3 linked regions of the Struthio camelus genome follow. The protein of the gene in region 1 interacts with the protein of each later gene in a pairwise test. Links are inferred from orthologs where the notes say so. Each region holds a gene or a part of one and is shown in the gene's direction. Other genes may lie near its edges. The genes, in order: CASS4, CDC42EP2 and ZYX.

What was found.
Region 2: the proteins of CASS4 (region 1) and CDC42EP2 interact in binary tests that used the Homo sapiens proteins (3 or more experiments, as listed by UniProt). The link is inferred for Struthio camelus from reciprocal best matches to the Homo sapiens genes CASS4 and CDC42EP2.
Region 3: the proteins of CASS4 (region 1) and ZYX interact in binary tests that used the Homo sapiens proteins (3 or more experiments, as listed by UniProt). The link is inferred for Struthio camelus from reciprocal best matches to the Homo sapiens genes CASS4 and ZYX.

Annotation. Positions count from the first base shown.
Region 1 is NC_090959.1:12,404,564-12,414,691, forward strand, and holds the start of CASS4 (cas scaffolding protein family member 4), read left to right. Parts: upstream 1-6,402; 5' UTR 6,403-6,689; coding exon 6,690-6,725; intron 6,726-10,128. Other genes in the region: CSTF1 (cleavage stimulation factor subunit 1), read left to right, coding at 434-693. UniProt on the Homo sapiens protein: Docking protein that plays a role in tyrosine kinase-based signaling related to cell adhesion and cell spreading. Regulates PTK2/FAK1 activity, focal adhesion integrity, and cell spreading.
Region 2 is NC_090976.1:822,922-832,469, forward strand, and holds the start of CDC42EP2 (cdc42 effector protein 2), read left to right. Parts: upstream 1-5,634; 5' UTR 5,635-5,834; intron 5,835-6,900; exon of another isoform or gene 6,901-7,140; intron 7,141-9,548. Other genes in the region: POLA2 (DNA polymerase alpha subunit B), read left to right, coding at 281-354, 1,639-1,747, 2,383-2,489, 2,935-2,994, 3,546-3,672, 3,782-3,928. UniProt on the Homo sapiens protein: Probably involved in the organization of the actin cytoskeleton. May act downstream of CDC42 to induce actin filament assembly leading to cell shape changes. Induces pseudopodia formation in fibroblasts in a CDC42-dependent manner.
Region 3 is NC_090942.1:90,285,556-90,295,701, forward strand, and holds the start of ZYX (zyxin), read left to right. Parts: upstream 1-5,973; 5' UTR 5,974-6,065; intron 6,066-6,359; 5' UTR 6,360-6,516; intron 6,517-8,057; 5' UTR 8,058-8,206; intron 8,207-8,972; 5' UTR 8,973-9,132; intron 9,133-10,146. UniProt on the Homo sapiens protein: Adhesion plaque protein. Binds alpha-actinin and the CRP protein. Important for targeting TES and ENA/VASP family members to focal adhesions and for the formation of actin-rich structures.

The DNA of each region.
Region 1 (10,128 bases):
ACACACACACACACGAACCAGTGTTGTCATTGATCATGAGAATCCATATGTTCTACTAACAGTGGTCCTTCACGTTAGTTTTGGCTGCGAGCCTTGTACAAAAAATGAATGTAAAACTGCTCTTCCAGCTAACTGTTTGTACTCAAACTGTGAATGGTGTGCCTTGATCTGCACAGCTGGAGTGGTTGAATCTGTCCTGTCCTCTAGGAAATTCTAGAGTATACTGTGTGTGTATATAACTACAGAACAGTATTTCTAGTTGACTTGACTGTTCTGTGCACAATTCTAACTGAGAAAATAAGTCTCTTTAGAATGTAGCAATGGTATCTATGGGAGGTTTACTTTTAGGTCTTTGAAAATTTCTTAAAACTGACCCTATTTGGGATCATATTTTACTGCATACATTTAATGAATTTTTGCATCCTTTTCACAGGAGCTGGTTTGAGTGGACGACAAGTACATAGGACACAGGCTGTCTTCAACCATACAGAGGACTATGTGCTGCTTCCAGATGAAAGGACCATAAGTCTCTGCTGCTGGGATTCAAGAACTGCTGAACGGAGAAATCTTCTTTCTCTTGGGCACAACAGCATCGTCCGTTGTATTGTTCACTCTCCTACCAACCCTGGTTTCATGACCTGCAGTGATGACTACAGAGCTAGATTTTGGTACAGAAGGTCAACCACAGACTAAAGACACCTTTATGAAACAGTGATTATCCAGATTCATTATATCATCTTGTATTGATTGTACTGCCAACAGATGCCTAGATGAGAGCCATGCTGTGTCTGTTTTTTAATTCTGTCAAATGCGACAGAAAAATGCCAGAATACTGAGACTTGAGTTTTCGCCCCACACTAATTTTTTTTATTAGTGTGCGTATGGCATTAATTTTTTTTAAGTCATCTCTAGTTGTACTCAAGGGAGGGGAAGGGGGAATAAAATGATCCTTGCAAGAAGGATTAAACTTGTTCTCCTATCTCTAAATCCTGTGAAAGATAATGTGACTGAATCTTGCTCAAACTGGGCAGAATGAGCCAGTTTTGCTCTGCATTGTATCTGTGCAATCCCACTGAGGTCTGTTTAAAGAATGGATTACACAAGTAACAGCAGAACTTGGCAAATACTTTAATGAAGCCTTAAGCTGCCTTCAGTTCTGATTCATGCTTTGTAAAGCTCTATTTTGTATCTTTTTAGTCTGTTTTTTGGTGGGGTTTTTGTTTTTTGTTTTGTTTTTTAATTGGCTAAGTGGACCTTCAATTCTGAGCCAGTCTTGTGCCACAAGAATTTGAAACACAATTTTAAATGGTTTAGATGAATTCCAGAAATGGTGTTCTAGTTCTGATATTAAAGCTCAGACCTGAAATCTTGTCTTTCATTTGAATTTATCTTAACAAGTGCAACTTCAAAGGAAGCTCACGGTATTTTCAAGGAATAGCCACACTGCAACTGTAAAAGGCTGGTGTGGCAGTGCCGCGCCGTGTGAAGATGACAAGAATAGTTTTGCCATAGAGACCTACAGTATCCCCGCAAAGAAATAAATTGTTGCGCGTTTTGATTTTTGTGTATGTACCTCAGCAATGTCATTTCATTTTATTTAGAAATTTTTATTCTGTAGTTGCTCTGTATTCAAGAGCACTTGAATGACATTCTTTTTTTGATTCAAAAATCCAAAACAGTTCTATTTATTTGTAATAGTCCAAGTTTCCCAGACATCATATTCAGCAGATGTACAGATTAAGATCCTCTGTGCTTAAGCCTTCTGTAAATTTGAAAATTCACTACTGCTCACAGATTATCTTGCCTGTGCTAGGCTTCAAATATGTTCTTTCAAGCATTCGGTCTGTGGCTCCAGTGATACAGTACTCCTGGGCTTCACAGTTGGGAGACTTTCTTCGGTCACAAGCTCAGCACTTGCTTTCGTTAGTATTTTCAAATATTAGATTGTTCTTACTGATGAATTAACTTTCCATTGTCACTGATGAAGTATCTTGTCAAGGGCTGAAAAGGGTAAGGTTTTGTCTGTATTTAAATAAAATTACCTTTTAAAAAGTTATTTAATATACAAAGAAGGAATTGTATTAGTTTTCTATATAACAAAAGGCAAGCGAATTAAATATCGGAAGGATCTCTTTTGGGAATGTGTTATAGCTTGATGAGTCGGTCTGTTGCATTGCATGTGAACCTGAAATAACTAGAGTTACGGTTTGGAATGTAAATGTTCTTGTTTTGTTTTTTTCAGGTAGAGAATGCAGTTTAATTTTCTCTTAATTTGTTCTGCACAGCAATAACTTTTCCTTAGAAATCTTCTTCCCTGCCTCCCTCCCTTCCCCTGTTGTTTCCCTGCCCGCCAAATTTTTAGAAGTGTGGGAGAGAAGAGATAGTGGTTTATGTGGCTTTTCTGGTAGAGAAGGAAGGAGAGCAGGGAGAGGCAGGGCTTTGTGGGAGGGAAAAGGGAAGTCCTGCAACACGGTTATTAATGCCTGGTGAATTAGCTCAGTAATCCCAGACCTCTAGTAGAGTCAGCCTGCTAAATTGATAGCAGTGGTAGTTTTTACTAGGCTCCTGCCTTCTTTTCTTCTTTAATTCTGTTAAAGACGCTGCCCATAGGTAACTCATTTGCTACTGTTACCTGGACTTGTTTATTTTTAAAATATAACTTGGAGGTTTATTTATTAAATGACTGCTGTAACTGATAAGATAGCAACCTACTAGCTTTCACCTCGTGCTTTCTTAGGTCTACGGTCTTTTAACTTGTAACATAAAAGTAGAAGCTTGTTCCTTAAAGCAAAAACATACTGAAGTGAACCCTTTTCTTTTCATATTGTGTATCGTGTTGGTTGAGGCCAGGGGCTTCGGTCTGGGGAGGGAATTGTTCAAGGAAATAAAGACAGGAAAATACTTACATGGGATAAGTAAGTTGATAATGCAATCACAGAGTAAAATACTTTCGGAGCGCAAAATCCCGGTGGCGTTATGTGATGCCTGGAGGTGATTGATCTGGGATGAGAATGAGAAGACAAGTTTGCTATATAAAAAGACAGTGTTCAGAGCAAGCATGCTTTGGAAGTACTGTGAAGCGGAGCTACAGCTGCATCTTGAAGAACACACCTAGTCTTTTTGTTAGATCTGCACTTGATTGAAGGGGAACTTGTCTTTCAGTGTACAAATCTGGAGGAATCTACATACATGTTCTTTATGTGATAGATAAGACTTACTGGTCAGAGAGGCTTCACACCTAGAAGCTATATTTGATGCTCTTGGCATGTAGATGGCTACAGGTGTCACCAGTGGTTAGGGAAGAGAGGGATGCAGAAATCTGAGATGAATGGGAGCAAGAAGGGGCTGATGAATGGGAGCAAGAAGGGGCTGCTGTTTTCCTTCTCATATCTTATCTTCCCGACTATAAGGGGACTAGAAGACTGAAGCCATGTATGAAGTCAAGAGAAAGCAGAGTGTACAGTTGTGTGTGTGTGTTTAACCACTTTTGGTGGTTAGTGTCCTTTTTCTCATACTGGATGCTTTTATAAAGGGAAGGCAGAATGAGATGGTATATTTCCAATTCCCACCAGAAGGCCTAAGGTTTGGTGTAGGTTGTTCTTGTTAAGATACCTCTTTCAGGGGGACTTTACTTACTTTGCTTACAGTAGAGAGTTACACTTCTACAATCCTTAGCATGGGTATGATTCCATCTTTAAGCAATACTATTGTAATTGCGTGTTAGCTGCTGCAGAGGAGGAAAAATGAAGTGCGTTTAGCTGCAAGATATTTGTATTGATTGATCAAAATGTAGGTAATTGCAATAATGTGCTTTGCTTTTCACAGTAAGAATAAGAGATTGGCCAAGCTTGTTACCTTGCTCCATAGCTTAGGCAGGTAGTTCAAAAAATACTTCCCATCCTGCCTTTGAACAAACACACTCAGAGGTAAAGTCCAGACAAACTGACCTGCACCTTTTCAGAAACACTATTTGTTGTTACACTATTTGTTGTTACCCTTGTGCTATAAGCATCTATTAAAATAGCCCCTAAAAAAACGAACAAAAACAAACAAAAACCTGCTCCAAAATTTGGATTGGTCTTAGAGTGAGTTTTGGAAAGATCAAACGATGACAACTGTTTCTAGTGCTCTTTCTAGTCTTTGTAGGATAGTACAAGTGTCTGCTGAACTCATCACTGCTGTGAAGCAGCTTTGATAGTGTCTTTGGATCATGGATCTTACTAACAGCCTCAGAACAGCTCTGTTTATCTGAACAAAAACAAGAACAGCCAAACCTTGCAACTACAGTACTGACCTTTCAGGTGGTCTGTATTGGAATTGCTCTTCCTTGAAATACTCTGAGTAGCGTTAAGCAAGCCTCAACCTTTTGGAATAATATAGCTGGTGAAGAGAGCATCTTTGCCACTGACTTCTGTGATAATAGAGAGCAAACCTGGTAAACCTCTTCAGATGAAGCATCTTTTTCTGGATGTTTTAGAAGCGTGTCCTGTTCCCAAATCTGCATTTCCTCCCTGAGCAGTTCAGTGGCATTCTAAAGAGGGTTCCACAAGATAGGGGAGGAAGGGATTCGGGGGTTGTAGGAAAGATTTATCCTGTCACTAATAAATGTTCCTCAGTACTCTTAAGAGAATGAAGAGCGTTATAGGATGGAGCCAGCTGTCTCCTCAAGCTATGAGATGTATGTGTATATTAAATATACTTAGTCGCTAGCCCTGTACCTTTGATTTTCAGATGTTCTGTTGTTATATCCTTCCAGAGTCTTTCTTTTGAGGCCAATAACTTTTCAATTCTACTGTTTTAAGCTCTTTGTTCCTCAAAGCTTAAGGTCAGCTCTGCTTCCCGGTTAAAGAGGAAGCAAATGTGTAAGCAAGCCTTTGTAAAACAGACCTCTTGCCCAAGGCCATCAGCTGTCAAGGGCTTTGAGCATCTGATAAAGACAGTAGTAACCCATTGCCCTTCGAAGAAAGAGTGATCTTCTATTAGGCAACAGCTTTGACTCCCCTGTGAGGGTGCTAGTTGAATGATAAACATCGCTCTTCCATCTTTTTCTTAGTTTTGACACGCCTTCATTTTACAAAGAAACATCTGGCCAGCCATTCAGGTTCTCATCTCTTTAGTCCTTCTGCACTATGGAAGGCAATTGCTGATTAGTAATTGTAGCCACCCAGCTGAGGAAACTAGGAAACAAGGCTTGCTCATGTTCTGATGATGGGCTTTTTCAAGACTTCAAAATGCCTATCTGTTTGCCTTCTTGGACCGCTGGCTTGAAAGTAGACAGAGAAACATCCCCTGGATTTTACCTGTTCTTCGCGCAGGGGTGGTTTGAAATTAGTTTCTACTGATCAAATAAAATTCCAGTGCACCTGCTTGCCCGTCATCAGTTTTGTCATCTGTACCTCTTGGTACCCTAGCAAGCTCCTCCGCTCAGGGAAGCACGTTCGCATTCAGGATTTATTATCTGCTCAGGAACGTTTCCTTAACCTGTCAGATGTATCCATCTAACATGTAAACTCTTCTTGCCACTACTCAGAAGAGACTGTCATGGAAAAGCGTTGAGGTCGTTTGACAGCTAAAGCGTTAGCTCAGCAAACCATGCCTATCTAAAAGCAAAACACCTTTGAGGACAAATCATAATCACGGTTTTGTATCTTTTTGGCCTTTGGGATTCTTTGACACAGTGACTTGACAGCCTTGTAACTGGCACACAGATCTAGGGAAGGTCTTTCCTAAAAGGGCACTTGTGCAATTAGACTTGTTTACCACCAACAGAAAGAAATTTCAAACTTTCTACCTAAGAAGGGTACTGGTCTGGGACATACGTTTTTCTCATTTCCTGGACACAGAGGTCATCTGTCCACCAGAGCTGCCCTGGGATACTGTGAATCCTGATAAAAAAAAATGAAATGCAATAAACCAGGTGATCGTCGTCCAGGTTAGGAAGTTCTGGCATGTGGCTGTGATGGACCCTCCAAGCGAGCTGCACCGCAATTGCTCCACCTAACGAGCATAGTGCTGCAAACTGCATTTACAGCCCACACCTAGTTTGTGTGTGTTTAAGCCTTGATGCAGCTTGAGGGAGTCTTTTGTAGTGAATGCAGCCCCAGATATACAGGGTAAAACGTAAAATTTCTGTCATTTCACAAAGCCCCTTCTTTCCATAACAAAAAATTGTATAGGGTGTTTTAGATGGTGAGACAGCTTTGAAAGACATTAAAAATTTTGCCTTAGAAATCCTGAATTAATATGATTGTGGCAGTCTTATTTCTATCAAGCATTGTGCAGCCTCTTGTGGTACGTAGTATTCCTGCAGTCACTACATTTCTAAAATAGGAAATACAGGAACATGTAGCAAAACAGAAGGGTGAGACTTCTGAGTGTGGTTAATTGCGACAAGTTGGTGACAGAGAGATCAAGGAAGATTCCGCTTGCAGGCAGACTTTCTTCTCAGTGCTAGACACCATTAGGGTTTTTCTGGTTTATTTTCTTTTTAATCTTATCTGTTGTCGCAGAAACTGTCTTTCATGAGAGTCTTTTGTACAACTTCCTAAATGCTTTTAAGGGTATAGCTGTCAGATGTGTTTTCTTGAGAAATAGTTCCTGACACACTGTGACTGTACAAAACTGAGCCCTCTTTACCCAGTAGTAGTAATCTGCATTGCTCAAAGTGACACTGCTGGTGAAAGACAACAATGGACAAAACCAGAAGAATCGACAGAACTGCAAAGGTATGTCTAGTTTTCAAGTACAGCACATAAACGATTAAAAAAAAGTCCTAGTGTAGGTTTGATGTTTTGAATTCAAAATGATGCTTGGTGGTATTGGAAATGTTTGGTATTCTAATCCTGAAGTGGAAGGAAGGTTTGTTAGGATGCTAATGCGCCTGATGTACCTCTGTGCTTTTTGTTGTGACAAAATCGTTAACTACAGGAAATGCCTTTTTGGAAAGGACTCTGAATAAAGTAGGATTCTCAAATAGTAAACACCTGTGAATAAACAAATTTGTGAAATAATAAACATATACTTCCAAGGTTCCATCTGCCTTACTGCCATCCAGTAGTAACATTTGATATGTGATTATATTGTCAGAGACTTACAGCAGTAGTTCAGGTGACCTATTTGCAGAGAACTTTCTTACATAAGAAATCAAACAGTAGAAAGTACTGTTTTGTTTGTTTCAAAAGACTGCAACTGGTTTATAAGTTTTTTGAATTTATTCATTTATTCTTATTGCATCTAATATAATTTCATATACATATATGGATAAATTAACTTGCTGGAGCTGTAAGGGCCAGAGAATGCTGAAGTCTTGTCTCCTAATTCACTGCTTTGTTTCTCCTGCTGTCTGCAAGCTTCGTAAGCAGCGTAATAGAATTATTTTTTTCATCTTGGATTATCATCTCAATATTTACTGTAAATAAACTGCTGGCTGGAAATTTGAAACAAAATATAGTGGAAAAAAGGTTAGTCTCAGCTTGATGAGCCATTTAACATTTTCCACTGAGGTTTGTAAAGATAAGAGGACAATTTTTCATGTTAAGTCAGCAGAAACTGATGGAAAACATTTTTCACCTCTATTCCAGAGAACAGAGTATTTTTTCAGTTTTCTTAAGTGGCTTGCTGACGTTTAAATAAATGTAATGGTAGCAACCTGATCTCCAGTCCTGCTCTGAGATCCTTAGGCACAGCCACAGCACACAGGGGAAATAACAACTGGAAAAGTCAAGTTTCTTTCTGCTATATCATTCATGAGCTGTTTATAAGGTTCCCACTATCCTAGTATCAGTACATTACTGTTTATCGTAATAGCTGAATGCTGTACTTAATACACAAATACTAAGGATGTGTTTTTTTGTAGTATCTGGACTTCTTGAAGCACCGTGTACCAACCATCAGTAGCTTTGCTATGACAAGTAACACTTTGCAATTCTTGCTGTGCTCCAACTGTTCCATCTTTGCAAGATAAATTCTTTCTGAAAATGAATTCAGTGTATGATTGCACCCAGAAAAATGACATTATTTCTTCGTTATTGTGTATGAGCCAGTGACAAAGTCTGCACAGGAAATATTGCATGTCTGGGTGCAATTTAAAGCACGGTTACAGAACATGCGCGGGAAACACTTCTCTTACTGTTTGACTGTGCTGTTACCAAAAGAAAAACAGGAGCATGTCTTAACTACAGATTAAGTTGGTCTGAAATTTGTCTCTTTTTCCCAAATGCCCAGCTTACATATTCTGGTCTTGTCCATGCACAAGTGCATGAACAACAGTCTTTCCACACAGTCTTCCAGTATTCAGCATTGGTAAAGGCTTCTGGTGGACTATTGTGTGAAGTTTGCCACGTCTCCAGAAAAGATACGGACATGTTGGAGGAAGTCAAGATCAGGGCAATGAGAATAGTCAGAGAAATGAAAAACAGGGCTTACAGGGAAAGAGTGAAAGGACTGGGATTTCACAGCCTAGAGAAGAGAAGATTGGAGGGAGTCACAGTGTTCAAACACATAAACAGCTGCTGTAGAATATGAAAGGAGCAGGTTGTTCACTGTGTGACAGGGTAAGAAGAAATAGAATTTAAATTACAGCAAAAGCGATTCAGCTTAGATGACTGGAGAAAGAGCAAGGATAACAATAAGCAGATGCGAGATGTGAGATTTGTTTCTGTGAGCCCTGTCTGCCCTTGGGAATATGTCCGCCTGGAGCTAGTTGACTCAAAATGCCTACAGCTGTGCACCCAGACTCCACCTCAAATACCTGGGAGCAGGGTGTCTCAAAATAGGATTTGCAACAGTTAATGTATTGAGCAAGGAGGTACTTAAATAGCCAACAGGAAATGCTGGAGAGAATAGCGAAGTTTCCGTCTTTCTGGGCCTCAAATATTTAATTTGGGAATATTCCCAGGGAAGTCAGCTGGAAGTGAACTCAGTGCCCATCTTTCCCTGGGGAAATCTGAGAGGTAAAACTTCAGCTCTGTCATGGGCAAAACAGACTTGGCTCAGGGAATTTTTTCTTAATTTCATTTATTGTCAGTTAATACAAACTTACAATTGCTGATTTGGGTATTGAGAAAAAAAGAAAACATAAACAATAAGCAAACACTTAAATAAACACCTTTCCTCTCCCTTGCCCTGGCTCAGCTTAAGGCAAATGCTTCTCCTTCCCCATTCCTAGTCTCAGTTTGCTTTATTTTCACCACGTTACGCTCAGTCCACCCCAATTCCTCCAGGGAGGCGATGGATGGCGCAGGAGGTTGGGATCAGCATGTAATGGTCTGCCACCCTCCTGGGATTCATACTGCTTTTCCTCCCCTCCTTCATGCTTCTTACTGTCGCTGCTCCAGCATGGTTCCTTCATGGGCTGCAGCTTGCTGCTGGTGTCCCCATCCCGTGGAGGGTCACCCGTGGGCCGCAGTCCCTCCAGGGCAATGCATCCCTGAGGCATGGAGCACCTCCTGGCATGAGCGTGTCTCCTGTGAAGCATGTCCTCAACCATCTCTGCCTCCATGTGTCTCTTCCAGCATCTCCCACGTGTCTCCTTGCATGTCTCCTCACATGTCCTCTCCCACTGAGCCTTCCACTCTTTCTTTAATGTGTTTGAGCAGAGATGTCCCATGCTTACTCGCCTGGCTGACGTTCTGGCGCGCGATGGCACCACTGCAGGCCCTTGGTTGCCAAGTCCTGCCACATGTGCCCGGCTCTGTACCTGTGCATGTACTGCTTGGGTGCTCATGCTTGAATTAGTTGGGTGCTCAGCATGAACTAATGGGGCATTCATGCATGCATGCTGGAAGCCCTGCAATTTATACCCAATTCAAGCTCCAAAGACTTTGAGGGTTATACTCTTGGACTAGCTGCCTAAATTTAGGGGGAGTGGTAGGGATTTGGACTGTAGTATTTAGAATTTGGGCTGGTACCTGCTCGCCTTTATCTCCTAGGTGTGCCGAAGGCCAGACGCTCTCCATCTTCTGCGGTGCAATGTCTCTGAGCTATGGCCATGGTGCTTTGATGGGGCTGGCAGTGGGGTCGGGTGGATCCATGGCTGCAAGGACGAGTGCTGCAACCCCGGGTGGCGAGGGGCATTCGCTTCGCCACATTGCAATGCCTAGCTGTCACCAATTTGATGGATCACCCAAA
Region 2 (9,548 bases), on another chromosome or scaffold:
CGGGATGGCGACCCGTTAACGGGGCAGCTGCCATGGCGGGGGGGGGATTCTTACCCAAATTCCTCCGGCCCGGATGGATTTACTGTTCCGTCTTGCTGAATCCCCGCGGATCTATCGCTTGGCAGCGTCCTGACCGCTTTGGGGGGGGAATCCGGAGCTGCCGGGAGCTTTTATCGCTGGTCGCCTTCGGAGCGCAGCCTTTTCGGCTAAGGTGGTGGCGGTGCGGGGGGGTCCTGGCGTCCCGTTTGCTCGCTTGGATCGTGCCGTTCTCCCTTTCTAGAACTGCCAGCTCCTCGGATCCTTTGCCGACGTCTTCAAGCTGTGCCTGAAGACGATAATAGAAGGGACGAGAAGGTAGGGAGGGAAACCGAGTCGGCGCGGCTCGACGCCGCGCTTCGCCCCCGGCAGCGGACGGACGCGCTCTTTCCCCGCGGCATCCCCAGGCCTCTCCTTACAGGGACGGGACGCGGGATTTAACGAATTCATCCCTAACGAAGCCGTGATAAGCGATTGGCGGCGGGGGTCGCTTCCCGCTGGCTGTCCGGTCGTGTCCCTCGGTAACGCGGCCGCTGGCATGAAGCGGCGAGCCGGTAGCGGCATCCTCGGGTGCCGGGTGGGGAAACTGAGGCACCGGGAAAGGGGCAGGGCTGTGCCAGTGCCGTGGGAACCAGAGTTGGGTGAAAAACCTCGTTAGAGAGCCCGTAACGAGGCCCTGGAGTGGATTTTGGAGCGGTTTTGGCTCACTACGAGCTGTAATTCATACTCGACTCCCAATTTTTTTTTTTTTCCCCTCCCCTCGGTGCCCCGAGAGCGCTCGGGAACGATCCGCGTCGTTCCGCGGCGGCGCTTCTCCCCTCCCGGCGGTACCGAGGCGGGGAGGAACGGCGCAAACAACGAACAAACGAGGCTTTCTTCCCCGCCGGGGCGAGCGCCGCGCGCTGCCAGCCTCTTTCATCCGCTGCCAGACTCCGGCAGCGGCCCCCGCCTCTCTCTCGGGAAAACATCGCAGCCCGACGCCGCGGCGCCCTGATTTTAGGAGCGCGGACGCTCCGGGGCGCTGGGCCCTCCGCGTCCTGCCCGAGGGCTCCTGTAGAATTTCTCCTTTTCATTCAGCCGAATTGACGTTTAAATCAGCCGACTGGCTTGAGCTTTCCGTGCCTCGCGCCGAGGCGCTCCGCTCGCCCTCTCGTTAGGCGAAAACGAGGCCTCGCACCCCAGGATTCGGCTTTTGAGGCCGGATTCGTGGCTCCGTTGCTTGTAAACATCTCCGCTGAGAAGTGAGAAGGAATTGCGATCTCTGGGAAACCGGAGCCCTTTTTGTGGCCGAATCTGGTGTAAAAAGTGCTCCGAAAACACGGCGCGGTCCGAGCCTCGGGTGTGGGGTAGCTCTGCTGCCGGCTTCGCAGCTTGGGTGGGAAAAGGAGATAAGGGGATTTTGGGGGCTCGAGGGGGATTTTGATCCTCCCAGAGCCTGTGCCCCCGACGCGGGGCTTTCTGAGGCCGCCCGGCCGCAGCTCGTCCACCCGGAGCGGGCGCCCGCCGCGTTTCGATGCCTTAAAAGCTGAAGCGGGAGCGGGCGACCTGCGTGGCTTCGGCTCCCGTTTTCTCCCCCGTAACGGGTCGCTCTCTTCCCGGCAGCGCCGGCTCTCAGCTCGTCTTCGTGCCGTCGCTGCGGGACGTTCACCACGACTACGTGTACCCGCAGCCGCCCTTCGCCTACCCCGAGCTGCCGAAGGAGGACAAGCCGGTAACGTCCTCGAAATCAAACCCGTCCTCGAGCGAAACGGGATAACGGGTTTTGGTCGCTCGTTTGGGGCGAAAAGCGGCGTCTTTCTTGCGGGTTTGCCCTCGGCCTGTAGAGCGGACCCGTCCGGAAAGGACCGGCAGCGGTTCTCGCTGGCAGGATCCGCTTGGGAGCTCCCTGAGGAGCAAAAATCAGCGGAGCTCAGGCTTCCCGGGAGAATCCAGCTGCGATTCACTTTATTTCTACTCGCTCGCGGGTGAGAAAGCGAGAGCGCCAGGGAAACCTCCTCTGACCAGGAGGAGGAGCTGGGAACGGATGTCCTGGCTGCTCCTGCCCCTGTGTCCCGCTCGTGAGGTCGTGGGGCTCCCCGAGACGCGGGGAAATAAGGAATGCCGTAAAAGATATCAAGATGGTTTTGCCAGGAAAAACGCATCGTTTGAGGCGGATTTGTAGAGCCCAGCCCTACGCGTCTCCTAACCCTCTTTTTCCTAATTTAACGCGTTTCTGACCGAGGAGCTTCCACGCCGCTGTCGTGGCGTCGGGCGACTCCCCAGCCCGTCCCTCGGGTTTAGACGGATTCGGAGATGCCGGCGGCGCCCTTGCCGGAAAAACCCATCGCGTCCCCCTTCTCGTTTCAGCGCGTCCACTTCGTCTCGGACCCCTGCACCCTGGAAATCAACGGCACCGTCTTCGGCTTGACCTCCACCGACCTGCTCTTCCACATGGGGGCCGAGGAGATCAGCAGGTGGGCGCCCGGAGGCGGCAGCGGTCCCTTGCCACGTTTTCGCGGCGGGAGCTGCCGAACCCAGACCCAGACTCGCCGGGTTTTAGCCGCTCCTGCGGAGAGAAGCCTCAGCCGCTCCCTCCGGGGTCGTTTCGCTCCGTTTTGCCTCTCTGGCATCCCGCCTTGGCGAACAAAATGCCACCGGCGTTTCTCTGCTCGGGCTGTTTTTCTCCTGGCGCGTCGCGCTCCGTTTGCGGGGCTCGGAGGAAGAGCTGGCCCGAGCCCGCGGTGCTGGGCAGAACAAAACGCTTCGTTAGCCGCTTGCCTGCGTCGCTAATCAGGCCCGCTGGCTAATTGAGCGGCGCAGCATGTCAACAGTGACCTCACAAACGAGCTTAAGCGCTACCTTTTATTCCCCCCCCCCCCGCCCCGACTCCTTTTATAGCTTGTTTTCGGTCTCTTACAGCTCCTCGGGCATCTCGGACAGGTTCACGCGGATCCTCAAGCACGTCCTGACGCAGAGGAGGTGAGGCGAGTTCCTGGATTGTCGCCTAGCCCTGCCGAAAAAGGGCAAAACAACTGAAATGGCGCGCTGCCGTCCCTCCCGCCCCGCTTAGGGTGACGTTTTTCAAGTCAAAATGCTCCTTTTTGAATTCGATAACCCTCTAGATGCGCGATTTGGGGGTGCTTAATGCCGTACGTCTTCCAGACCGGCCTGCGCCGTCCCGCAGGACGCAACTGGGTCGGATTTTCCAGGCCGGTGTCCCGAGAACGGCCGGTAGCAGATGCCTGAGGACGGGGTAAAAGGAATAGGAATAACTGCCCACTCCGGAACGATCCGGTGGTTTTATGGCTCTCCAGATTAGCTCCGAGCTCCCGCTTGTTCCCCTTGAACAGACTGTAAAAGAGCGGCAGCTGTACGCTGATGTAAATTTGACCCAAAAGCTATGTTCTAACACCAAAACTGAATCCGGTTTAACGCCCAGCCGGCTTCCTCCGCCGTGAGGAGGCGTCGGCGCTCTCGCGATGCCGGAGGACGCGGAAGCGCGGACAACCTCTCTCTGCTCTCTCCGGCAGTTATTACCCGCTCTACCCGCCCGCGGAGGAGATGAACGTGGACTACGAGAACTTCTACAGCTACGCGGCCCTGCCCGTCACGCCGGACGTCCTCGTCGCCCCCTCGGAGCTGAGGTACTTCGTCAAGGTAAAGCGGAGCGGGCTTTGTCCGCTCTCCCGTGCCGAAATTCCCCCTGGGAAATTCTCCTTGGACGTAAGCTGGGATCGGTTTTAACGCGCCGGCTCTTTCTCCGCAGGACGTCCTGGGCTGCGTGTGCATCAATCCCGGCCGCCTGACGAAGGGGCAGGTCGGCGGGACCTACGGGCGCCTGTACGTGCGGCGGCACGACGCGGAGGGGGAGCGGAAGAGCCCTTGCGTTGCCGCCCAAGTTGTCAAAATTTAAGCCTCCGCTGGGCGGAACGACGGCGGGAGACGGGACGAAGCCGATCTCTTTGGCCCTCTCCCTCCGCGTAGCCTCAGGACTGCTGCTTTCGGGCTGCTTTTTTTGTGTATTTTGGCACCTGCAAAAGGAAACAACCAAACGCCAGGTGGGTGCTGGAGTTGGCCCGAGCGTGGCAGGAGCCTCCCTTGGCGTCACCTGCTGCCAAGCTGGGCTGTTCCTTCAGGGAAGCAAATAAAATGCACTTTGAATTTTGCGTATAAAAAGAAAAAAAAACCGCAATGCCCTAACGCAATTAATCTGTGGGTTTCGGCGCTTTGCGGGGGGGAGTTGACCCGATTAGCCCCCTGGATTTGCGTTCTTTCCCCCCAAAACTGAACGCCAACGGCGCGGAGCTGGGTGCCCGCCGGCGCTGGGGAATTTGGGTGCAGAAAGTGCTTTTTAAATTTTTTTTCCCTCCTCCCTTTTTTTTTTCGCCTGGATATTCACGACGCCTTACACCAGCGAGGGGTTGCACAGGCGGCCGTCTCGCTCGCTGGTCTCCTGCCTTCGGCTGCCGTGGCGATTACAGGCTGTGGGAAACCGGAAAAGAAACCTCGTCAGTCGGTGCCGAGCGAGGGAAACCGCGTGCTTGGTCTTCCCTCGCTAATTTTTCCGCCTAATGGGCTTGCCGTCCTAATGAGCGCTAGCTCCAGCCTCCGCAGCGTCCTTAAAACTCGGAGCACCGCGAGGGCAGCGTCGCCTCTGCCCGATACCCGAGTCCTTCCCCGAAGGGTTGTTGGTCGCCGCTCAAAGTGTGAGACTGTATTTTAAAACACGTCAGAGGGTGGGGGAAAAAATAAAGACAAAACAGAGCTAACAGCCGCTTTCGGCCCTTTCTAGCGACGCTTCAGCTCCGCCACGGACAACTCTATATGCGTTTAACCAGCCTGCGCATGTTCCGGAGCCAGGTTTGGGCTGGGCTTGGCCTCAGTTTCCCTCACAAAAAGGGTGTTTTTAGCTAAAACGCGCGAGCTGGGGCGAAGGGTGCCACGTCAAGGGGGAACTCGGGGCTTTTCGCCGGGGGGGGATCTGAGGTGAACGAAGCACCCGGCGTCGGCTGTTGCGATCCGGTGTCCTGCCCGGAGTGTCTCTTGCCTCTTAATCACACGCCACCAGCTCCTCTTGAGGAGGCTAATCTGCAATTTTAACGAGCGGGGGATCCGGCCGGGAGCGTTTTAACTCGGCCGCGTCCTTTCAGGCCTGACTCCGAACTCAAACCGGGCTGACGTTTAGTTCCACCCCTCCGTCCGTGAGCTCGCGGCGGCAGAACGAAACAGCCGGGCTCTTTCCAGCGCCACGTCCCCGAGCCGAAACTTAATTCTGTTAGCTGGGAAACCGGGGGGGGGGTCGAATCGGTGGGAATTCCCAGGGATTATTTTGGATGGATGAGTAATGCCGCTCCATCCACGTTCGCTCCGTAGGGAATCCTCCCTTAGCGGCTGGAGTGGACGCAGCTTTTTATCCCGTTTTGCGCTTAATCCCCCCCCACCGCCGCCGTCTTGCGAGTCCTCCCGCCGGCAGCATCCGATGGGGAAAAGCCGTGGCGACGGGCTCCTGCGAAACGCTGCTGTTTTGCTGCCGGGCAGTCAGAAAGGCTGGAAAAACGCTACCGTTCTCGTTCCGTTGGCGGCGGCCGAGGCTCCGTTGAGAGCAAACGTCGGCACCGGGAGAAGCGGGGAGCCGAGGCGGCGCGCTGGGCCCGGGGTGGGGCTTGCCAGGGCTCGGGGCCGGCCAGCGCCGTCGCTCCAGCATTGGCCGGGGCGGCGAGGGAGGGAACAGAGCGCCGGCTGGATGCGGCTCATCGCAGTCGGGTGCGCGAGATCGCAAAAGACGGGAGGAAGACGAAGGTGGCGGCTCGGTGGCGGCGGTGAGTACCGGGGAGGCCGGCGCCTTGGCGGAGGTTTCGGTTTTCTGGTTGCGGGGGTGGCGGGAGGGGGACGCACGCCAGAGTGGCGTTTCCCTACGGCGAAGCCCCTGGGGCATCCCGGCTCCTGAAGCATCCCACCTCCGTCGCCCGCAGAGCGATGCTCCCGTCCCCGCCGGGAAGGCCTGCTGCGGTACCGGCCCGTTTCCCTTCCCGTCTCCTGTCTCTCTTCCTGACTCCGTGCGGCGCCTCCGTTTCCCGGCTTGCAAAACGCGGCTCGTTCCCGGAGCGCTGCCGAACGGGGAAGCGATGCGGAAGATAAGCTGCGCGTGTGCCGGGGAGGGACGCGGCTTTTCCACGCTAGGAAGGAAGTTTTTGTTTCTCCGGTCGCTGCTGTCATGTTTCCCCCCTGCTTCCCTGCCGCCACCGACCCACGAATCCAGTCCTGAAATCCCATCGTGCCGCTTATCTCATCCCGTCTGCTTGCCGCCAGCTCCGAGACCCTCCGTGGCGTTTGCTTTCCCAGCGGATGAATTCGGGAATCGGCACAGCTCGCCCGGAGTCGAGCTGGGGCACTTTTTTTTTTTTTTTCAACCGAGAAGGGAGGAGGCAGAAGCAAATTCTCGCCCGCTGGAGACGATACCGCAGCCGAAATCGAATCCAGCCTATTTTAAATCTGGGGGGGGGGGGGGGATCGCTTACGTGTTATCTATAAAAAGACCCAATTGCCTCCTTTTTTTTTGCTACCGATCCAGCTATGCTCAGTGCGCTGCTTGGTAATTTTAGCAACCAGCTGTGAAGTTTCTACCCGGCTCGGGATTAAAACGAGCTGATTCGTGATCCTTGAAATAGATATCGCGCTCGAAACGCCAGCGGCCGGATCCTCCCTGCCCAGAGCGAGGCGGAGGAAAGGATCGCGGCGTAAAAGCGCGGAGGGCCCTGGCAGGTTTTAAATCCGCGGCTGTGTCAGCATAGCTGGGAAGGCGCCGAAGATATCCGGTGTCGGGACTTTGGCTCCGATACAGGGATATCGGAACGACCTGTGCCCTGCTCCCACCCAGATCCATCTGCTTCCGAGGAAGATGAAAAGAAACTCGGAGCAGGCGATTAAAAGCTCCCGCGTCCCACCGGGGAATTCCCGGCTCTCGCCCCCGCCGCCCGGGGAAGGGCTCGGCTCACGCGTCGGCTTGGGTGGTTGTTGCTGGGTTCGAGCTGTTCCCGTAGTTTTTCCAGGGAAGGATTTCAGCCCGTAGCCGCTCCAGCGGGAATCGGGGCAGGGAATGCAATGAAGCTCCCCGTCCGCTCAAAGGTGGGGTTGCCCGGCGAAGGGGGGAAACCGAGGCGCGGAGCTGGGGTGCGAGGCGGCCTCGCCCGAGTCGATCCGCGCCCCAAACCGCCGGCGGATGTTTCTCCGCCCGGACGCGGCCGAGCCCGGCGAGTCTCCTCAGCTACGTCGCGGCGTGTTTTCGGCTGCCAGGGAACGGGCTGCTGCGCGCGGGAGATGCCCGCTTGGGCCACGTCCTGCAACAACCAGAAGAGACCAATTCTTCCCTGCGGGTTTCCGTGAGGGCGGCGCTGGGCGACGCGGGCCAGGGTCGCAGCAGCCCCCCCACCCCAAAACGCATCCGCCAGGGTTTTTCCCGCTGCTCTGGAAGACCCGTATTCCCCATCCCATCGTGCCTCCAGCTCAGCAAGGGGATGCGCGTTCACCTCCCCAGCAAACATCCCTCTTTTGTGCTGCAAAGGTGAAACTTTTTTTTCTCCCCCCCAGAAGAGGATCTGCGACACATGCAGCCTTCTAGCGGCTGCTGGAAAGAGCCTCGAATGAGGAATCTCTTCCCAAATTTTGTTTTTGTTTTTTTGCTTGTGCATCTCCTGGCGCAAGTCTTTTGCGCTCCTCTTTTAGGTCTGCTTTTACACAAGGTTTTCCCCCAGAAATAGCTGCATTTTACCCAGGTGACTATCCTCCCCCCAGCTCTCTCAGCTGATCTAATTCAAGCTGTTACCTCCCCCTTGAAGGTACCTAAATAACGAAGCTGACTAATAAATGAAGCTGATAGGGCACCACCCTGGGGGAATACACCCAGTGCCCTGTTCAAATGGGCTGCCAGAGCACAGGAAAGAGGCCATTGGGTTGAGCGGATATTCGGAAACGTTTGCTAGGAAGATAGATAGGAGTTACCGGCTTCGTTTTCTGTGGCAGTCATTAACTCTTGTCCTTGCTCACTTGATTTCTGGACCCTGGAGTGTTTTTCACCAGACCTGTGCGCCCCTATATAATGAATTTAAGCCTTAATTACCTTTTTGTGGACCCTTTATAAATAGTCTGTGGAGCTGCCAGGGTTCAGGGTTGAAAACTTGCTGCTCTGTCCATCGGTGAGAGCCTGAGAAAGTTCAGGAGCGGCGGCCCTCTGTGCCGCGTGATGAAGCGTAAGTCCCTGCAACCGGATCAAAAGGAAACAAGCTTTACGCCGGGTGCGGCCGTGGGAAATTAGCTAAACGAGCTAATCTTAACACAAGCTGGGAAAAGGGGGCGGGTGCCGCGGAGCTGTTGCAATGAGCGCTCCCCGAAACGCGTGGTGAGACGCTAGACCTCACGCTTTAGGGCTCGAGTTGATCTCTGAATTATTAGAGACGGCGATGAAACCCAACGTGGGAAGCAGATTAACTGGCCTCTATTTTGGGGGCCTCGGATCCGCTTTTGGAGCGTTTGGTGTTGCCGCTGCCTGGAGCAGGGAAGCTGAGGGCTGCAAAGAGGGAAGAAGTAATCCAGTCTCTGTATCTGCCGGGTTGGCAGGACGAGTCCCGCTTCGGGTCCGTTGAAACTCTGCCTTTAAATCGCAGTCGAATCGTGAAGCCGTTCCTCCACAGCTGGGACGAAACCCCTGGGAACTCGCGCTGCTGCGAAAACAGATTCACTGGGCCCAAATTTCCCTGAAAAAGGGGGGGGAAAGTAGATTAGCGGTGGAACAGGTTGCCCAGAGGGGTTGGGGCATCTCCTCGGGGAGGTTCGGAGCAGGTTGGGCCGATGCCTGTCGGGAGCGATTTTGGGTGAGCTGATCGCGCCCCCAGACAGGGGACGGCCCGCGTGGTTTCGCGGGGTAGTTTTGATGACACGCGACCCTCTGACTTTCACCTTCCTCGGAGTTTTGCGTGCTCAAAAAGCTCCCGATCGGACTGTGAGGAGGGTGCGAATACTTTTGGCACCACGCAAGCAGAAAAGGAGAACGATTTGGGTTTTGTTTTTTTTTTTTGGAGTGATTTTTCCATTTGAATAGTCACAAGTGACACCGGTAGCGCAGCAAGAGCTCCAGGACGGGCCCGTGGAGGGACGCGAGCGCCGAAACGCCGTCCGGCGAGCGCAGGACCAGCGCCGGAGGTCTGAATACCCACGCGAACCTGGCGCGTCCTCCTTCCCTCCCCGCGCTCGCGAAAGGCCGCCTGGCAAATCGTGTTTGTGCAGCGTCTCGCTCAGCTGCTGACTCAGGAGCTGGCTGACCCCATCTGCCGCGGCAGCAGGGACGGTGTTGTCCTCGTTTTAAAGACGGGGGAAACTGAGGCACGGAGCTGTTTGTAGCGACGTGCCCGAGGCTATCGAGCGAGGCATGAGAGCCGTGGTGTTCTGCGCTCCCGGGCTCTCTCTGCGAGGCAATAACCTCTACCCGGAAATAAATTTCCGGGGAGATAAGCGCCCAAGGTGTTTTATCCGTAGGGAGC
Region 3 (10,146 bases), on another chromosome or scaffold:
CTGGGTCCCTTTTCAGTGAAAATTTCAGATGTGGTCAGATAAGTTGCATTGCCTCTCCTAAGTTTATTCCATGTGCTTGACCCTTTGGCTTGTCTATCATTTTGTCTCAAGCTCACAGGCATATTCCAGGTCTTAGCGAGGGCACATTTGGCTTTCCTTTCCTTCATTGAGCTACATCACCCACATCACTCTGCTGTGACTTCTGCCTCAGGGTGTCATTCCACAGGCAGGCAAGCAATCCTAAAGCTTAGCCTGCTGGAAAAGCTGCTTTCCAGTTCTTGATGAGTTTCTCTTCTGCTGGTTTAGAGAGGTAGTAGTTTACACAAGGATCTGGCAAGCGCTTGTGCTGCCACAAGGTAAGCGTCAGGCATGCATAGCTGAGAGAGAGAGCTGGAAAGATGGAGGATCCCTCCATTCCGGCAGGGTGAACTGGCCATCATTCTTATGAAATTATACCCAGTGTCTGTTCATTCACTCCATAGAACTATTACCCCACTTCATAGATGTTTCACGTGTCTTGATGCACAAGCTCTCTTCTTTTTTATTTGGAATCAGTATCATCCAGTTGCTGGAAGAATCTTGTACGCTGGCTTGATATCTGCAGCCTCGCTTTGTCAGCTATTTTTTAACATCATCAGTTTAATCAAAGGATAGACTCGTAACTGTCTTTTGGTTCTTACTGGTACATTTATTCATTACGGACCTTATGCACATGAATCTACATTTTAAAAATAAATTTCATTCCATTAGAAGTTCAGAAGATTCGATTAGATGATGAGTATTTCTGAAACAGCTGGTTGGTTCTTCCATACAGTAGGTTTGTAGGTAACTCACTATGAGTGTACAGTTTCTACTTTTTAGTAAGCTAATACCTAACTTACTTCCTGAATTCAGTTAAAATATAGTATCATAGAGTAGCATAAACAAGTAGTGATTTTACATTCTGAAGAAATACAGCGGCATCTCAGGTATCAAATATGAGTGTTAATTGTTCTTAAGTACAGACTTTTAACATATACCACCGTAAGACAAGGGCCTACAACAGTCATACGCTGTGTGTGAGAGACATTTTTGTTGTTCCTTCCAACTGTTGAGTCCGATGACGATCAAATCAAAATGGTTGCCAGCAGGATTCTGGGTTTGCTACCAAATGTAGCAAGATAGAATTCTACCGGATTCCAGCCACGTCTGCTAATATCCTTCAATGGCATGTTCCCCACACAGGGCAATCTGATTTCCTGAGTATTATCCTGTACAAAGTGGGTAACAGGACTGAATCTTTGAACAAAGGATGAGAACAGAGCCTAAAGCTAACTGTCCCTCCACAGTGTCTGTCCTTGCTTTCCCTGAGCAGCATTATTTCTGCTGCAAGGCACAGGAAGTGAATGACAACAAATAAATTGTTTTATTTTACTTTGAAATACACTTTTTGACAAGTTCTGAATATTTTCCATAAGCATTGCAATTACTTTCTTAAACATCAAAGCTGTAATTTCATGTAGGAAAGTGTGTACAAAATATATATTGCACAGTGCTGACTTAAAGGCTGCTCTGAAAGATTTTTGTAAATGTCAGTTTTCACCCAGGATTAGGAGACAGGGAGAGGAAATGCAGATCTATTCTTTACAGATTTGGGTATCTGAGAGGGAGGGGAGCGATAGAAATAGCCACTTGCAACCTCCTACATGATTTGTATGATGGGCAAAATTCTGTGCCCCTCTGTTAATGCTCGGCTGTAGAGCTCCCCCTCCGCAAACCCTGTTAGGAGAGGCATGCTGGGCAGGCAAGAAGGACAAACCCGTCTGCTCTAGCTGTCACGAGTCCTTACATCGCTGCCCTTAGCAACTTCTTGTTTGCAGAGCAGAGCTTCAGGGCTGCTCTAACTTATTCCAGCAAGGTCAAGAATTCAACTGGTGGAAGAGCGACTTAAAACTCCTTTGGACCTTTTCTCCCTGCTTCCTGCACCTTACACCATGAATGCAACAGTGACACTGACTGAGATGTCATAGTAACCTAGATAAGCATGTGCTCCTCAGTGAGCACTACCTGGCTTGAGGGATGAATGCTGAGGTGAGTTGTGGAGTGGGGAACTGATAGGGATTGTCCCCTCCAGCGGTCTCATCCTCCCCTTCCTGCACACAGGCAGAGTGTGATCCTAGGTCAGAGCAGGGATGGTGGGGAGGAAGACATACTTCCAGCAAAGCTAAAGATAGTGGCCTCATGCCCAGGAGAGGGGTCAGCAATAGCAGAGAGCAAAGCAGTTTCAACAAGCTCTGTTTTTTAACAATTTGTTCCAAATCCACACTGAGGTGCTTCCAACATAACCCTTAACACAGACCTATGCTATAAATTGATAGCTGTTTGTTTGTTTGCTTTTTAAGAGCTGCCTGCTCAGCATTATTTATCTTTTCTAGAAAACAATGATGAATCACATCTACTAAATATATATTTCCAGATGTATTATAAATATAATATAAAAATCTTATAAACGCTGGAACAGCTTCTTCCTGAGAAACACTACTTATAAAATACAAAGCTATTGTCACCATCCCTACCTGCTTAGTAATTTTATTCATTTCATCAGTTAATTATTAGGGACATAGATTGTATCTCAGTAAGTGATATATGCTTTACCTTTTCCATTAGCTGCCCTTCAAACCACTTAAAAAGAAAAAAATTTACAAACATATATCTTGCCACCTAATGTTCCACTTTTAGCTAAAAATTGCCAATTTAAAATGTCATCCTACTGTCTATCATTCATCCTAATATTAGTTCCCATTTCCCATCCCCAAAGGCCTAACTAGCAACCATGTGTATCCATGAGCCATGAAAAGGCTCTGAAAAATGATTGTTCACTTTCTTTTCCTTCTCTGATCCTTTCTAAAATCCTTATTTAAAGCTCTGTGGCCTGACCAACTACTATCAGAGAAAGATATAGAGAAACTTTGGCCATGTTTCTTGCAAGATGCATCTTCAGCAATGGAAAATATACAGAGGCCTACTAGCTTCATGTGTAGAAGATATTTGCAAAAATAATATCTATATCAGATCTATAGAGGCAGGAATCACCCTCCAGGGACTGTTGCTCCAGTATGCTTCTCTGCTGGCCTTCTGCCACTGGCAATATAGATTCCCCAGTAAATGTTTCTGCTGGCAGAGCTCTCTATAATTGCTTCATAGAAGTAATGGAGTAGAAGCCACAAGAGTTAATTCTGCATCAAGCTGTATTAGCTACTGATAGAATTTTCATGTGGACTGAAGAGGAAATGAGATAGCAAAATGACTCATACCATTCTTTCTTGTTCAGAGCTCCTTTGGTGCAGAAGAGAAACAGAAAGGCTTTTTATGAGATTCAAAGAATCAAAAAAGCATCATCAGTGTAGTTCAGAACCTGAAAAGGTTGTAACCTGTCTGACATAAGTGGAAGACTGGATCCTCTTAAGTTGCGAAAATATTTCAGGCTGTATAAATCAACTGAAGATTAGAAGGGACAAGAGGTAGAGGTACAGGCATAGGATATGTTTGCATTACACACTGGGAGTATGAGTGAGCTCATGCTTACCTACACTCGCATCCAAGCAGATGTGATCTTGTTCTGCCTGCACCTAGAGTTCATAAAAAAACTGTATGAGAGTGCATTCGTGTGATGCTGAGACAAAACTAGTCAACCTACCCTCTCAGGAAGAGTATTTGTCAGAAAATCCTCATGGTGCTCAATAGCATTTTCCCGCATATTACTGAAGGGAACTAATGGTGGTCACCAAAAGATTATCTTTCCTCTTCCTCTGCATGAGGAGTTCTCGGAGTGGCTTATTCTGCCAAAGTAGAGACACACCTTTTGGATATCTTGGAATTATCTATTGACAACTGAGCACTGCTGGGATGTCCCAAATTAAGGACAAACTTACTCAGAGGGATGAAATACTTCAGTGTTAGCCAGTTACCTTAAAATTACACTTATTTCAACCCAGGTTTAATTTTTTTAAAAAGGTATTTATTTATAAAATTAAAAAAATGTCCACAGTGGAAAGGTATGGCATCCCAACACATGAAGAGCAGGCAATTAGTGGGCTAGCTGTAATGTAACAACAGACAGCACTCCCACACCTGCTCTGCTGCAAGATCCTGGTTGTGTGATCTAATTTGGTAGTGCTCCCTGAAAGAACAATCAGCTTTCTTTGAAAAACACAGGTTTGGCATGTTGGTACACATCTGTATAAATGTTCAATATTCAGTGTTCACCACTTTTAGCTTCTCAACTTAATTTCACATTGGTGGTGTTAATTTTCTCACCTTACCTTGATATTTGCCTTCTATTAGTTTTTCTACAAGATTTATAGCTTTCTTTGCTGTCAGAACAACACTGCTGCGTTGTAGCTTTTTAATAAATGTATTACTCTCCCAACATCTTCATCCATGTCTGATTTTGATCTAGAGTCATGTAGAAGTGTGAGGTTCTGCTCTATATATACAACATTAGATCTCATCTTTCATACAGTTCCCATTTCTAGACTTCACAGAAGATTCACAAAAGAATTCACCATCTGGAACTAGGATGATGCAGTCTGTTCAGTTAGCATTTCGGTGATGCATGTGTAACACACTGACCTACTGCAAGTGATCATGTATCGCCTTTCAGTTGGGCAGGAGGAACCATTGCTCTGTGGAACTACAGTTTGGTATTACAGAATTAGTAAGTCTAGCCTGCTTCATTTGCTGCAGACTTCACCCACTCAACATCGTTCTGGCGGGTCTCTTCCATAAATCTATTCTGCCTCCTTGTATGTACATACCTTGTCTCTGAAAGCAGCTATGTGCATACTCGCATGGAACTGAGACTGGAGGTAGGCAGGGCCATGCTGTGAAATTCTGGTTTCTCTTGCCATGGCCTGGAGCTTTGCAAGTGATGCATTCAATGGGGAGATGAGTGAGCTCAAAGAAAAAGGACTGTTTTCCACCCCCACCCTGCTGGGAAGGGCTCAGCAGATGCCAGGAAATGAGAAAAAGGGATAGGGAAGTCCGGGAACATAAGAGAGGGAACTAGGTGAATCTGTGGTAGGAAAACTGAGAAGGCACAGGTTCCTCGCCATCTAGTAGTTAGTACTTAGAGGGAATGTCTGAGGAGTTGGAGAGTCAAAAGGCGGAGGTGGCATGCACTTGGAAAACAGACACCACCAACAGCATAAACATGAGCTGTATATTAGGGTGCCAATATTTTTGGTAGGCTCTGAATCCTATTTGGCTTTTTATTACATATGCTTCATTCCCTACTGAATATCTGATTCCCAAACAGTGAAACATCAGCTACTTCTAAATGTCAGTTGAATCTGTACTAGTGGTGTTGCTCAAACTGCATTTTTAAAAATAGTCTTGAAGCAGCAAATGTGCTTTTTAAATTCTCAGTGTTATGTAAAAGGCACAATATTTTTAGCCTTACAAAATATCAGTTGTCATCTTCTCACTCTCTCTCTTTGGTATGTAGGGGATGGGGACTGGAAGCTCTCAGATTATACATAATTGTTTGCGACACGGTTTTGGAGTTACACAAATCTTAATAAAACATTTTTTAAAATACCCAAAAGCTTAAAATGAAGTCTGAACAAAGAAGTTCTTGTTCTTTGTTATTGGTATCTCTTATTATCTCTTATCCCTTACAATTTACTGTATCTCTTACTGCAATGGAGAAATGCAGGCTGTTCAGTGTTCCCCTTCCCAAAGCAAGTGGACAACTGGAGCTGACCAAGGAGGCTTCTTTGCTTTCAGGATGTTCCATCTGAGAAGGCTGTCATCATCCAGTGCCTACCTATACATTGTGTGGATATCATATATGGATGGCTCTTGCACTGTTTTAAATTTACCATACCCTCGCACAAATCTACAATCTTTACTGTTTTGCTTTAAAAGCCTGTTTTCCATACAAGTATATACTTTCTTTTCTATCAAATCTCATTTTTTGTTTTATATTTTTAAGATAGAGGCTTGATGGGCAAGATTGGGAGGACACTGTTTTAGAGACCATGGCCATAAAGGCAGACAAGCAGGAAGCAAAAGGATTATTGCTGGTAGGTCCCAGCAACTCTTTTTATGAGGTTGAACACCAGGTGTGAAAGTGTTGGGAAGAAAGCTGTTGGTGGGAGGCCCAGTTATTTACAAATAGCTTTGTAAATACCCCATTTATTTATTTTGGCAGCAGTAAGTGTAATGCTGTCTCTGGAACCATCAGTCACTCTGCAGAAAATGGTTTGATAGGGCTTCTCTCATAACATGGCCCACCCTGTTTTCATCAGAAACCTGATGAGATCCCACTGGCACAGTTTCACAGGCATTTTTCACTGCCTGCTGTTCCCAACTTTCAGCCAGGGCTGTTGCAGACATCACTTGGGACTCAAGAATCCAAGGGAAGAAGTACATTTCCATAGGAAGCCTGACAACTGATGATCTCCATGTAGATTTCAGCCAGCCAAATGCATACCTAAAGCTGCTTACCTGGTAACTGAAGTGTTTTGGATAAGGGTAAGTAAAGATACCAAATAACTTGTTTCATGAGCCATGGAAGCAAAGGGTCAGGAGGTGTGCCAGGTTACCTAGGAGATATGGTCATCCTGTTGACCTTCATCAAGACAATTGGAAAATGCCCTGGTTGAAGGAAGTGCCTCTCCAGAAATGCACATCAATAGCTCAGTTGTTTAATGCTATGCCTCAAGTCCTTGTCCAGGCCATCTACCACTGATAGCGGTGACAAGCAGCGATGGTTCAGGTTTAATAGAAGGAAATCCCTTCTCATTGGGGTAAAATACCAATCCAGAAATTAGGCTATGCCTCTGTCACCTCAGCACATCTTTGGAGAACCAAATGGGCAAACTGTCAAAGACTTTGTAGTATGAGATAAACCACTTTTTGAAGACCTCTCCTGCATTTTAAACGGCAGCTGTGGCTACTGAGCTCTCAATATTACACAGACTATCTACAAAGTGCTGAGAATTGGTGGCCTGTAGCTACTACTCTCCTATTCTCCCCAGCCAGTAGCTCTCATACAGCGCTTGATCACGTTGCTAGAATTAACTTAGCAAACATCTTCTGTAAGGCCTTTCACATCGTTATGTTTTCAACCTACTGAAAATCATAATAGCTTGAAGGACAGCTCTCTCCCATACATTGTCACTTGTCACAGACCTGTAGCTGGTACTGAAAGCTGGTACTCCCTTGCAAGGCCCTGATAATTACACCCCCAGCCCCAGGAAACAGTCCAAGATTTGTGTCTCGTCTGTAATCATCCTCTTACTCATATTGGCAGTAAATTAATCTGCAAACATACTAGTAGCCACATGTACCAAGCCTGGCAACTGCAGAAAACTCCATACAGCTCCATAGTTCCTGCTTTTGCAAAGCAAGGCCTTGAGGAACTGCACCACTTAAAGTTGTGCTGAAACTGTGTTTTATTGTGCAGTTTGTAGATAGTGTTTTTCTTAATATTTTCGGCAAGCAGACTGTCAGACCGGGTGCCTATATTGTTTGTTTCTTGTTTTGCTCCAAGGCCTTGGTCCTTTCATCATCTATACTATGCACATTTTAGTTTGTGTCAGGACTTCAGTCTGGACTAAACCAACTATTTATTTTGGTGAGGCTCAAAAGAGAGGGTAGTTCACTTCAAGGTCCACACCTCTATAGGACTACACCAAGTTTCATTCTTCCTGCCCAGAACAATCTTCTTATGTACTCCTAGTGTTCTCACAAGTCCAATATGCTTTCATGCCATGCCCTGGCACATGCATTGCACATCTTTGTTAGTCTGCTACAAAAAGAGAAGATTAGCAGTCTGCAAAGCCACCCCTCCTTATTTAGCTGTGGGGCTTCTTCTGCAGCAAGAAAATAATGACACTCTGGTAGAAAGGGGCCACACGGAGACTGGAGAGATCAAGATACTATGCCAAGGTAACGTTGTTGAGACTGCCTATTGTTTGGCTGTAGCTCAGCACCTCTCTCCCTGCAATACTGAGTTGCACCAGATGCTTCTCTGGGAGGCCACCACAGAACTTCTCCCTTTGTATGAGCAGGAGGAAGCTCAGAATGAGACCCAGGGGAGTTGAGAGCCTGCTTTTTGCTGACTGGATCTGGGGGAGGAACCCTTTTTCAAGGATGACATCCTCCCACACACACACATACTAAATCCCCTAGCATGCAACTAGCTGTGCACCCAGCTCTGGTGAGTACATATCTTTGATTACACTTATTTGAAGGAAGGAGCATAGCATATTTGTGCCGTGCTTAGGAGAATACACTCCATACCAATGAGCAGACAGGAGACTTCTGCCACAAAAACATGGCACTTAGAAAGAGTCTTGTACCATGCCCAGGTACAAGGGCATGCCTGGCAGGCTCCCAGGTCTGTTTCTTTGACGGACAGCTCTGGCAGACAATATTTGTGCATAACAACTAAACATGTCACAACTTGTCTTACTGGAGGCAAGGCATGGGGCATAAGGTTGTGGATATGACAAGTGTATCAATGCTTTCCAAGCATAATTGCCTCTGATAGGCATCCATACCCAGCCATACACATACCAGCCTTGTCCCAATTCAGCTGCGTCCCACTGCTTTCTCCAGTCCTTGGCTGACCATTCTCAGTTTTCTGGAGTCACAGAACAGCTCATACTCCAGCTGTGGGGAAGAGATATCCACTGGAACAGCCTCCTTGCTTTCTTAGTCTCTCAGGCCCAGAGCCCTGCAGCAGTGAGCAGGAGGGAGAACACTGTGAGAGAGAGATGAAGGCCTCCAATGAGCACTCCCAGGAGCCATGGAAATGCAGGCCCGCCATCCTGCTGAGACATGGACAGAGGCAGCATGGACCCTTGGGGACAGGAGCCAATGGGACAGAAGTGGGACTGAACCCAGTCGGTTGTTCAGAGACCTCTCTAGGAGAATTCATGATCTTTGCAAATAACATTCTTAACTGCATGCCATTTTTACAGATACATGAGCATGATGAGGGTCAGAAGGACTGGGGGCTCTGTGGTCTCCAGTGTGGGCCTCTGCATTTGACTCTATGGCATCCAGCACTCAACATGCATCCAGCATGGAACTGAATCACTGCACCCTGACACCTCCTTTCAGTGAGGAGAATGAGGTCTGGTAAGTGCCTCCTCCCTTTCCTGCACATCAAGGCAGACTGTTTTTGCAGCGTGATGATACCTATGTAGTAGCTGCTTGCCTGACCCCATGCAGGTGCAGCATGGGCCTGATCTTCTCTGTACCTCTTGGCCTGAGGACCAGAGCAGACCCATTATATATTCCTAACTCTTGCAGTAGGCCCAGATATAGTATTTAGATATGATAATATAGCACAGGATAAGCGTATGAGTAGCAGCTTAGCATAAATCAATAAAATGTAGTTAGACTAAACAGAAGTTACATGATCAAAAAAGTATCCGAGATGCAACACAGATGTGAGACAGGACTTTTTGTTGGGCAAAAGGATAGGAAAAATATATGGACTGCTAAGTAGCACTACTAATTGTTACCTAGTTAAGACTGAGATAAAGTAGTATTACTATATCCATTGATATAGATGAAAACTGTACAGATTCAGACATTTTATATTATTAACATAACAAAAGCATCCTGTCCAGCGTCCATGTTGCTTTCTTCTGACCTCGAACCTATTATCATCACAAAGATTCCCATCCACAGCTACCCGAACCCTCTTGAAACGTAGTTGCTGAATCTAGGTAAGATTTTATGCCCTAAAAGTTTAATTCCCTATTAGCATACCTGGAATCCTTCCTTTTGCATTCAGGGACTTATTTTTTTCTTCTCTTACCTCTATTCTCATTTTCATTTTGTAGCCACCTAATCACTGTTAGCATACTCTTCATCTCAGTGCAACACATGTATTTGCCATATCAGTTCTGTATTGCATTAGTCTTTATTTACTCATTGTACCACATGACTGAACTGCCACTTAAGATTCTTTATATCTGTTTACATGAAAAATCTGTCTCTTTAAGGTTCCTAGGACTCTCAGAATTTGCCAGATTTGGTTTGATGGCTGACACTGGGGCTTGCTTCTTGCCACCAATCTCAAAGAAGCACCCAGCTAGAACTTTAGATGTTCTAAATCCTTTCAACATCTGCTTTGTAGTGGGC